3 linked regions of the Bombyx mori genome follow. The protein of the gene in region 3 binds, or shares a complex with, the protein of the main gene of each other region. Links are inferred from orthologs where the notes say so. Each region holds a gene or a part of one and is shown on either strand. Other genes may lie near its edges. The genes, in order: GATOR2 complex protein WDR24, protein SEC13 homolog and GATOR complex protein Iml1.

Evidence for each region.
Region 1: GATOR complex protein Iml1 (region 3) and GATOR2 complex protein WDR24 share a complex: the UniProt entries of both Drosophila melanogaster proteins name them as parts of the GATOR complex. The link is inferred for Bombyx mori from reciprocal best matches to the Drosophila melanogaster genes Iml1 and Wdr24.
Region 2: GATOR complex protein Iml1 (region 3) and protein SEC13 homolog share a complex: the UniProt entries of both Drosophila melanogaster proteins name them as parts of the GATOR complex. The link is inferred for Bombyx mori from reciprocal best matches to the Drosophila melanogaster genes Iml1 and Sec13.

What each region holds. Positions count from the first base shown.
Region 1 is NC_085114.1:15,886,684-15,890,342, reverse strand, and holds part of GATOR2 complex protein WDR24, read left to right. Parts: intron 1-1,684; coding exon 1,685-1,773; intron 1,774-2,159; coding exon 2,160-2,319; intron 2,320-2,885; coding exon 2,886-3,058; intron 3,059-3,439; coding exon 3,440-3,659. UniProt on the Drosophila melanogaster protein: An essential component of the GATOR subcomplex GATOR2 which functions as an activator of the amino acid-sensing branch of the mTORC1 signaling pathway.
Region 2 is NC_085131.1:3,993,964-3,997,722, reverse strand, and holds protein SEC13 homolog, read left to right. Parts: upstream 1-1,257; 5' UTR 1,258-2,074; coding exon 2,075-2,644; intron 2,645-3,033; coding exon 3,034-3,405; 3' UTR 3,406-3,471; downstream 3,472-3,759. Other genes in the region: uncharacterized protein LOC101741756, read right to left, coding at 140-502, 582-725, 805-978, 1,048-1,107, 1,186-1,257. UniProt on the Drosophila melanogaster protein: Functions as a component of the nuclear pore complex (NPC) and the COPII coat. At the endoplasmic reticulum, SEC13 is involved in the biogenesis of COPII-coated vesicles.
Region 3 is NC_085116.1:10,885,311-10,889,069, reverse strand, and holds the start of GATOR complex protein Iml1, read left to right. Parts: upstream 1-1,314; 5' UTR 1,315-1,469; coding exon 1,470-1,512; intron 1,513-1,590; coding exon 1,591-1,728; intron 1,729-2,381; coding exon 2,382-2,551; intron 2,552-3,401; coding exon 3,402-3,668; intron 3,669-3,751; coding exon 3,752-3,759. UniProt on the Drosophila melanogaster protein: An essential component of the GATOR subcomplex GATOR1 which functions as an inhibitor of the amino acid-sensing branch of the TORC1 signaling pathway.

The sequences.
Region 1 (3,659 bases), on a different chromosome or scaffold from region 3:
TGTATTTCTTACGGCGGTAATCGCTTAACAGCATACGGGCCGTGAACACGTCTGATAATTCACATATATTCAATAATAATTATTAGTATTAGGAATTGCAGAGATGAGTTATAACTGGTGACGTCACGCCAGACGCCCTTATCTAACGACCTAGTATTTTATCAGCATTAAAACGTGCAAACGTTGTGATTGTAATATACAAGTGTTGCCTGCTGGTCGGGGTCCTGTATGTACGATCTAAATTTACATTTTAATGTTCTGGCTGTGAACTAACGAGATCACTGGATAATGAGAAGCATTCTCTGAGTATTCTGCCGGCACTCTACGACTACTATATATATAAACTATAACACAATAAGCCCACTGAGTTTCTCGCCGGTGGTAGATTCTGCGAAGCACTGCTCTTGCCAGGGCCAGTGTTAGCAACACTCCGGTTTGAGCCCCGTGAGCTCACCTACATGTAGGGTGAAGCTGAAATAGCCTCTCAAGGCTATCAGCACAGGTAAAAAAAAAAAAAATACGAACTCATGGCGTTCTTACGACGTCACCACTTCCAAATCAATAAGCAGATTTTAGCTTTAGGCGTTTTTGAATATAGTTCGCTAGCCTGCGTACGGGTCTTAAAGCGCAAATAAGAGCTTCATTTCCACTTAATTAAATCTTGAAATTATAAGCAATCTTAAATACACTTAATAGGCAGCGGCTTGGCTCTGCCCCTGGGATTGCTGAAGTCCATGGGCGACGGTAACCACTTACCATCAGGTGGGCCGTATGCTCGTCTGCCTACAAGGGTAATAAAAATAATAACAATAATAAATAAGCAGACACACCTAACAGCACAGACCACGGTTGCATTTAAACTACCGCTTTCCAGACATAGATAGGATCCTAATACTAACACCTAAACGTCTAATGTACCGTTTTCGGCAGGTAAAAATGAATCTTAAAACATTTGCTATAACTTCATTTTCTTTGTCTCGATATGTGAGACGATTTAAAGTCAGCTTTGATAACCCTGATAGGTATAGGCTATCTTCATTTGAACCCTACTCATTGTTAACGAATTGATTATGAATAGCTGTTAATGATTACGTCTGAATTTCATCTCGATGATCCGGATGACACTTAGGAAACACTTATGGAAATGGTAGTGCAAGGTAGAGGGGGAAGAGGTCGACCAAAGAAGACATGGATGGAGTGTGTGAATGACGATATGAGAGAGAGAGGAGTGAGTGTTGAGATGACGGCTGATAGAAGAGAATGGAAGAGAAAAATTAGCTGTGCCGACCCCACATAGTGGGATAAGGTGGAGAAAAAGAAGAAGATCCGGATGACACGTATACTTGTCCATTTAAGTTGATAATACGGCTTAACGATTTGAGTTAGGCTCCGCTTAACGTCGTGTGGGTAGTGAGTTGGCTGCCCGTCCTATCTAATAAAAATGCGGAATAAAGTCTACCTATTACAAAAGCTAACCGTTGGATCGGCAGTGGAGTTCGGAACATGCGGCACACACATATTGAAGTTTCAATTGTATTTGAAATATAACAACTATCTCAAAACCCAGTCACTCGCGGGAGGGGCCTAGAAAGAACGTTGGACTCGACCTGCTTCGAATGAAACTCATATTTGTCTGGTTATATTAAAATTAATTACGTTTACATTAACCGTGTAGTGTTTATAGGTATGGGACATTCACGCCAAGCCCAACCTAGAGCACACTATATACACGATAGCGTCCGTGGGCCACGTCAAGTGGAGACCGCAGAAAAAGTTAGTATACGCTACGTTTACTGATTAAAGGCTTCGTCAAACAGAGCGCGTACTTAGCGCGGCGTTTTAACGTCACACAAATTGACTAGACGAGCCCAACGCTCCTTGACGCAACGTAACATCCGCCAAATCATAGTGCCTTTCGATAGCAGTGTGAGAATTTAAATGTATTTAGTAGTCGAGTGATTCAGTTGTGGAAGAATTGTTACACTGGCGCTATGTTTGGCAGTATATTACCATAATAGTACAACACATCTCGGCATCATAGCGCGCCGTCAGTTTAGCGTTCGGACGCGCGCTATGTACGCGTTCTGTTTGACGAAGCCTTAAGATCAATACGAGCTGGTCTCTCGTGGTCCCTGCTCACGCGGCAAGTGCACGTGTAGGTACCAGGTCGCGTCGTGCGCGCTGGTGCTGGACTGCGCCGTGCACGTGTGGGACGTGAGGAGGCCGCACGTGCCGCTCGCCACCTTCGCCGAGCACCGGGACGTGACCACAGCCATCGCCTGGCAGAACGACCCCAACACCTTCCTGTCCACCAGCAGGGTGAGCCTGCACAGCTCTTGGCAATATGCGCGTCTCGCATTCTCGCTCCGTATCTGATCTGTGAGCGCTCCGCATCTGTATGGTGGTTCTGGATTCCAGCGGATACCAGGCTTCGCTAGCGTTCTAATTAAGGTTTAGTTAATGACGGCCTAGTAGACCACGAGCTCCGAGCCCAAATATTAAAGTATATAGGTATTGACAAAAAAGGGTTCTGTTTTTTGTGTGCTTAATCAGTGAGTCACTTTTGTTTCCAATGTCCTACTTAACCGAGTAAATAGATATTGTGTCGACTAACTCTCCGAATTGTTACTAATCTATGGCCGTTAAGAATCTTAGTCGATATTCTAATATAAAATAACTGGTGCTGGTCGAAAAAGAGTTAATTTTGCTGTCATTAATATTAGGTAGATTTTCCATCGAGTACTGCGCTTTAATAGATACGCCGATGGCATTTCTAATATCGGCGTTGAGCAGTAATATTAATCGAGCGTTCGTATGAAACACGGATAATTTATAATTTTTGGGGGGATTATCTGTGGTACGACATGAACGTGACGTGCCTGCAGGACTGCAGCCTGTACCGGCACCGCTTCTCGGAGGCGGCGCACCCCGTGCTGTGGGCCAACCCGCACGGCGTGTGCGTGTCCGCGCGCGGTGACGTCACGCACGCCGCCCCCGACTGCCCCCTGCCCGCGCTGCACACCAACCCCGCCTCCGACCGATACGTACCTGGGCTCGGGTATGACGCACCCCCGCACCGCACCTCATATACTTACTTTATTTATTTTAGTTAAGTTAACGTAAACGCAGTCCGGGCTGTTGGCAATGTCAATTGACACGTTACACATTTACAGGGTGTTTGACCATTCTCGGCTTTAAAAGCCATTAAACTGGCACTACGGCGCTAACGTGAACCACTATTCGTTTACTTTTTTTTAATCGATTTGTGTGTGGACATCCCGCGATAATTAATACTAAAATCCGTCAACAGCTATTATGCCAAAAAAAGGGAACGTTTGTTGACAAACAGAAGTATCAATGTTGTAAACTGTTTTGTTATTGTCTATTAATGTACACATTAATTAGACGTTATTGAGGTGAATATATTTAAACCCCTCAGCCGAAAGCAGCCGACCGCAGGCTCGCTGCGTCCGCAGGCTCAGGCCGCACTGGAGCGCCTGTTCCCCGGGGGCGCCGCCTCCATCCTCACCAGGTACTCGGGCGAGGGTCGTCCACCGTGCTGCGTGGTGGCCTGCGCCAAGGAGTACAAGATGAGAGGCCTCCCCACTCACGAGCTCGCCGAGCACAACGCCAAGGTCGCCAGAGCTTACAACCGGCAC
Region 2 (3,759 bases), on a different chromosome or scaffold from region 3:
TAAATGTATACAAAGATAATTTATTTCACTATATAAATGGAAGGAACATCACTAGTTTTGAAGAGAAACCGAATAATTATAATTGTAATAACTCATTTGGTTCTTTTCTGAACTAGACTTTATACGAATGTTTTTCATTTCATGATGTTTGTACTTGTTTAGGTTTTGACCTGAATGGAATTAATATTAAATTCTTTGTTCCTATTAAAGCACTTTTGGTGGTAAATTTTAACAGTTGCAGTAACTTCTTGGCTGTCAATACAAATAACTCCAAAGTAAGCTGTGAACCTTTTCTCCAATAAACGATATATGCTGGAATTGGTGGGAGATTCTCAGACCAAATGCCGTTTCTGAGGCTTTTTGCTTGTGCTTCTGCTGATAATAGAGCAGGGGCAATTTGTGACTCAATGGTATTCTTTTTTAATTCTTTAGGAAATGATGCTTTTGCAAATCCAAGCTCCACCAATTTTTTACCAATATCCAATGTTTGAACATCTTTACTCTGAAATGGAAAACATTTTTGAAGAGTAATTTTTAATAATTTAAGGTATTTTGTTGAATTTGTTTAAATTGAAATATACCTTAGGCTGAGGTAAATGCAATAATACAGTAGAAACTAGATCATCATTATCTCTTCCGATTGGCTTTAATGTCACTTGCTGGCCCCTAGCAACACATTCCAGCCAATTGACTGCATTCCCACTAACTACTTCAATTCCCCACAGCTAAAACAAAACAAAAAGAAAATATTTTTATTACTTTGTAGGTAAATTTTCGTACAAGTTATATTTTTATCACATTTACCTTAACTGGTAGTGGAGGTTTACTGGAATGCCATAGCGGTAAATATATTGGGGCTTTGTGATTGACCAGAACACGAACTGGTGAATGTTGCACTCCAGCATATAATCCTTTCAAAGGTTCATGATTTCTGATGAAATGATCTGGAACTTTACTGGCTTTCGAAAACTTGCTAACCTATCGAAGTAATTTTATTATTTATAGTTATGTAATTATTAATATAGGGTTTTTTAAACAAATACTTACAGGGCGAATCTTATGAACAGATATGGCGAGACCAGCGGTGGCTAGAGCATATACTGCTATCTGTAAACAACAATCAGATGATAGTGCTTCGTTTACAAAGTTATTATTATCAACATCAACTTGTAATTATCTACATACGTTAACCCCGCGATAATCTTGTTGTAATAAATATTGCATGTTGTAAAATATTCCTCCTTCTTTTTGAGACATTTTGATGTCTACAGATACGAAATTCTCATAATTTCTTAAACTTTCGTAAATTAGCTCATCAATATTTTCAATCCAATTCTGAATTTAGATGAATGAGAGAAAAAACAGCTTCAGACTTGTCAGAATTTTTGTTTGATTCTACTAGAGCTCTTTATTATCTTTGGTTAACTACCAAATGTAACCTGACACAGTGTTTAATCTTTGGTTATTACTTACATAAAGCATAGATTTTTTAATTTTTTTGAGGCCTAGTCTTGATATGTCAATAAAAGTATCTTCATACAGTTTAGGTTTAGCTATAAATATAAATGCTTAAAACTTTTGGGAGATACTTCATAAGTAACGCGCAAAAAGTAATAAAGAAATAAATAACTTAACCAAAGATTGTGCTAACCTAAGGTTAACAAATAATACCAAAGAGGTAATTTATGACCTCTAACACACGAGCGGCATTCTGGCACTAAAATATTTGTGCTTTTTTGTAGACTGTGTTGGAGCTATGTGATCAATAATCTCGAATCATCAAGAAAATCTCTAGCTTCCATAACAAAATTGATAAAAAGAATAATTCAGTTGTAGCGTCGCGTATGTTGAAGCTGCAATTTAATTCTGCCACTTTTTATTATTATATTGTTAAACTTACCTAATAAGTTTAGAGGTGACGCACTGCGACTGTCTTTGCAATGTCGAAATAGCTCGTGTGGATGGATACAAAATATTTTACTGGTAGCACTGTTGAAATTCCACGTCAACTGATTTGACAGTTGATTGCCCATTTTCCGTTGTGTATTGTGTAGGTTAATAAAAATATATAATAATGATCACTGTTTTGAATACTATTGATACCGGCCATGAAGATATGATACACGACGCCGAACTGGATTATTACGGACTAAAACTAGCTACATGTTCTTCGGATAATTCAGTGAAAATATACGACATTAAGAATGGTACACAAACATTGGCTGCTGATTTGAAGGGTCATTTTGGCCCCGTGTGGCAGGTAGCTTGGGCTCATCCCAAGTATGGGAACCTATTAGCGTCATGCTCTTATGACAGGAAAGTTATCATATGGAAAGAGTCTGGAGAGTGGACTAAACTATACGAATACACTGGACACGAAAGCTCTGTGAACTCTGTTGCGTGGGCGCCGGCTGAGTACGGCTTAATCCTCGCTTGTTGTAGTTCAGATGGCTCAATCTCTATCATACAATATTCACAAGATACTGGTAATTGGGACGTAAAAAAGATAACGGGTGCACATGCCATTGGTGTTAATTCTATTAGTTGGTGCCCAGCTTTATCTGCAGATTTGAACTTAGATCCGCTTACCAATAAAGATGCTCCAAAGAGATTAGTTACTGGAGGGTGTGATAATTTAATCAAGGTATGTTACAAGTTGTGTTTAATTGTTTACTGACTCTGTATTACAGTAGTTAGCACTCCTAACTGTTGCGCCACAGAGAATCCTGATTTGGGGCCAGATGAATGTGTGTGATTTATTCCGGGTTATTTATTTATAAGGCAAAAAAAGAAGGCAGCAATTTTTCTTTTCACAATATCATATATTGCATGCATTAGTTAATTTTAAATGAAAATAGATATATTTCAACAATAATTAGTTGAATTTTTTTAATATATCTACCTAAAATTACCTTGTCCTTTATTATCGATATGTTCTTAATAAACCCTGTATTTAATGATTACTATTTAATGACATCATAATGCTTCTTAATTATAATTTTTTTAGTTAGTTATTCCGGTTGTTGTTTTCAGATTTGGAGAGAGCAAGGTGATCAATGGGTTGAAGAGAACAGATTAGAGTTGCACATTGATTGGGTCAGAGATGTAGCGTGGGCACCCTCTCTGGGATTACAACGTTCCATGATTGCCAGCTGCTCCCAAGACAAGAGGGTTGTCATATGGTCTAGTGATGATAATGTATCTTGGACACCAACAATATTAAACACATTTGATGATGTAGTATGGAGTGTTAGCTGGTCTCTCACTGGCAACATCTTGGCTGTATCAGGAGGAGATAACAAAGTCAGCCTTTGGCGTGAGAGCACTGATGGCCAGTGGTTATGTATTAGTGAAGTTGCCAAAGGTTTGGGCCAAACACCCAATGATGAAAGAAGCACACTTTGAATTTGCTTTTAATTTCATTTGTTAATTTTGTAATCTGCTAATAGTAATATAAAATATGTACATTAACACTGATCTTTTATAAACTTCATCAAAACCCAGATTTAATCTATATATTCAATTTGATAATCCAATAATTGGGTTGTGACATATCTAACAGGTTTTAAATAAATTGCTATGATTATTATTACTGTATGTATTGAACATGGGCTGAGGAGATGAAGTCACTATTGTCAATGTACACAATAATTTTCAATTTGATAGTATATTTTATAGAATTTAAAGAGATATTTTTAGTTTAAAGAGAAAAGTTCACATGTATACTTGACATGGAAATAAAAATTAGAGAAATGTACT
Region 3 (3,759 bases):
GGGGTATCAAGGGAAATGAAATTGTAGATGGTATCGTCAATTCTAATTATGATGAGGATCATACTAATTCATGCAGAGTTCCTTTTACGGACTTTCTTTTTGACCTAAAACAAAGAAGTCGCAAATTATGGGAAAGCTATTGGAAATTATGCTCAAAGCATAAAGGCAGTTGGTATGCAGAAATCCAAAAAGAACTTCCAAGTAAGCCATGGTATGATAAATATAAAGGAGCCAAGGAACGTAAATTTATAATCATTATTAATCGTTTGAGGTTTGGCCACTGTCAGACTCCAAGCCATTTATTTCGTTTTAAAATTATAGATAATAACAGATGTACATACTGTGGAGGAAATGAGGCCGACTTATCCCACCTCTTCTTGAGTTGCCCGACTTTTAAATTTCAACGTTTAATACTAGTAACAGATATTATGAAATTGATGGATTTTGATGAGAATAATCAAACTAAACATGGAAATTCTTTAGCAAATAACCCGACAAGATCAGCTTTAGACTCATTACTCAATGCAAATGGTAGTCATCAATGTCAACATTGTCAACCATCACAAAAAGAAATTCCCCGCCGTGTCCAAGATTTACTGAAATGTCCAGTTTTATTTAAATCTATTTACTATTATATAAAAAAAAGTGTGTGTGTCCGCTCCGACGCACGACTGGAGTTAAAAAACTGGACTGGATATAAAAAATTAAACGAAACAATACGAGAAATAGTTCTATATTACGACAACACGATACACTACAGATTATTAACAAATTAACGAGACACAAAACAAACGACTAACAAATATATGAAAATACAATAATGAGAGAAACGCGCGATCAGTACGAGGCTTTGTGGCGGACTGCCGGCGCAGCAGCCCGGCGTCACCTGCGATAACGCATTTCGTGTGACATGCGCAATCAGGCGCATAACGCATTTCGTGTGACATGCTAGTACGATTTTGGTCCCCATAATTTTCATACCCCGGGCCTATATATGTAAATCGATTCTAAAGGAGTAAACTCCAAAACACGGTTGAGAAAATTTAAAGCTCATCCTTGTTTTAAATAATTTGATTGTATTTAATGTTAAGTTAGTATAGTTATTTGTGTAAGATATTTTGTTATACCTTTATTTTAAAGTGCCAATGGACTTTGTATCCGGCTAATAAATAAATTAAAAAAAAAAAAAAAATGACTTCGTAGAACTTACTTTTTGGCGGGAACGCGAGGAGTGAAAAGACTTAAAGGTCTTAGTTGCCAGGTCATAAAATCCCTTTTAAAAAAATTCGTAGAACAATAAAAATTTTGCGAATTGTCTATGCATTCAATATTGTTCTCTGCCTGCTGTCCATGGTGTTTGTTTGTTTGTGCTGCATGCATACTTACCGTTAATGTTTACTAATATCATTACGTGAATATTTTAATAGAAACATTTAAAACATGCCATTTGAAATATTAGAAATACGACAATGAAGTCCTTTAAACTCATTGTACATCAGTCTAGTTTTAGCCGTAAGTGCTTTTTTACATCTACCTACAAATATTTATAGTTAGGGCATACAAATTCAAAATTTTTATGATTTTTTGTAGCCGAAGATTTGATTATCAACTTGAAAGACTATCCAGGGTTAAAGGAAAAAGATATAGTCGAAATTTATCATCCCGAAAATGACTACCCCCGATTATTACTACAAGTTACAAAAGTGGACGCCCCCGGACGCGGCAGAGGTAAGCAATAACATATAAAATTAATCAAAAATTCTTGTAATATAATATAAAATAAGCTGTGCATTTATTTTATGTTCCCAAATTTATTGCGTATATCATATGCAGCAGCAAAAAAATTTAACATACAATTGTTTTAAATAATATAAAACTGTTTGTTCTATAATTAATCCCATTTCAACTTGACACAAAAATTCTTCTTCATAAATAATAATTTGTCCTAAGATGATTAATTATTAATAAAAAATACACTTTGAAAGTTACTTCTGATATAGATTCTGCCTAAATGTTTTCCATATGTATGGAACATATAGGAAAAATCTTAGGTAAGGGTTGAATGTTATTTTATTTAAAAGTGAAAAAAAAAAACCAATATACCCTCAAAATATTTTATTTCTAAATATATTCATCCTATTTCTCCTAATATACTTATCTTGTCAAGTTTGTTAGTGTTCTATATATTGAGATACAGCTGTTTGAATAGCAATACTGCATGAGATGAAAATATGGTGTTAATGATAAAGTACTTGTATGGTGTGACAATACATGCATTGAATATAATATTTCTGAATAAACACACTCCTTATTGTATCTATAATATTAGATAGATTCCTTAAAAAGTAATGTTGATGCTTATTAAAAACTTTAACTTTTAGATACAATTAGTGTGGAACAAAGTATTGCTACCACTTTCCAACTCCGAACGTTTGCTGATGTCTATGTAAATATAGTCAATGTGCAAGATGTGGCTTTGGATTCAGTGGAATTAACATTCAAAGACCAATATCTCGGAAGATCCGAAATGTGGAGACTTAAAAATCACCTAGTAAGCAAATTCATTATTATTTTACAGAAAGAAAAAAACCATTTAAATTACCTGCTAAAATTAATACAAAAAAATATTTTGAAATCGGTACTAAAATTTAATTTTACTAGAATTTTAGTACCATTTCCAAATTATTTTTTATCCCTTTATGAAAATTTTATGCTCTGCTTGAAGCTTCAAATAATTACAAGGTAATTTGTAAAATACCACCTCTGCAGTGTTGAAATGTGTAAATTTTTCATGGTTTAAAGCACAAAATGCCAAGTAAATTTGTATCAAGCAACTTGACTATCATGGGTTAATCTTTTCTAAGAAAATATTTACTTTGTGTTCATAAAAAACTTTATGATGAAGAAGTAGGATTATAAAAAAAGCTGTGAAAACAATAGAGACTTAGATATCATGTTTCAAAGTGGGTGGGGGCATAGTGACATTTGTAAGGGTTCCAGTAACCACTTGACACTTCCAGGGCTTATGAGCACATTCACCCATTTATGGAAATAAAAATTAGTAATATTTAAAACACTATAAATTTCATTGTAATACTATTATGGTTTAAACACTTTAATTTTATTGTCATTATTTTATTGCTAATATTTGGAATATTTTTCAGTTTTCATGGTCACAGAAGACTAAGGTCTTCATTGACTATTAAAATTGTACTAACTCTTACTATAAATGTAACTTTTATTTAATAACAATAAAAATGTAAGATTAAATATGAAAGGAAATTGAATTATGTCAATGACTTGAAAAAAAAAATTAAGCTACTAACTAAAAGAGTTTTGCCTCAGAATATCACAGAATTATTTGTCTGTTTTATATAAATTTCTGAAAATATTTACACCAGGTAAGCACCTGCGTTTATTTAAACAAGAAGATAGAATATTGTGGTGGTGCAATTAGATGTCAAGTATATGAAATGTGGTCACAAGGGGACAGAGTTGCTTGTGGGGTAATCACTGAAGACACAAAAATAGTGTTCAGATCATCAACTTCAATGGTCTACCTCTTCATTCAAATGTCTTCTGAAATGTGGGATTTTGACATCCATGGTGATCTGTACTTTGAAAAGGCAGTTAATGGTTTCCTCGCTGATTTGTTTGCCAAATGGAAGGTAATAAAATTTAAATAATATAATAATGCATTTGAGCTCAAATTCATAATAATATACTTCAATAAACATATTGTTAATTACAGAAAAATGG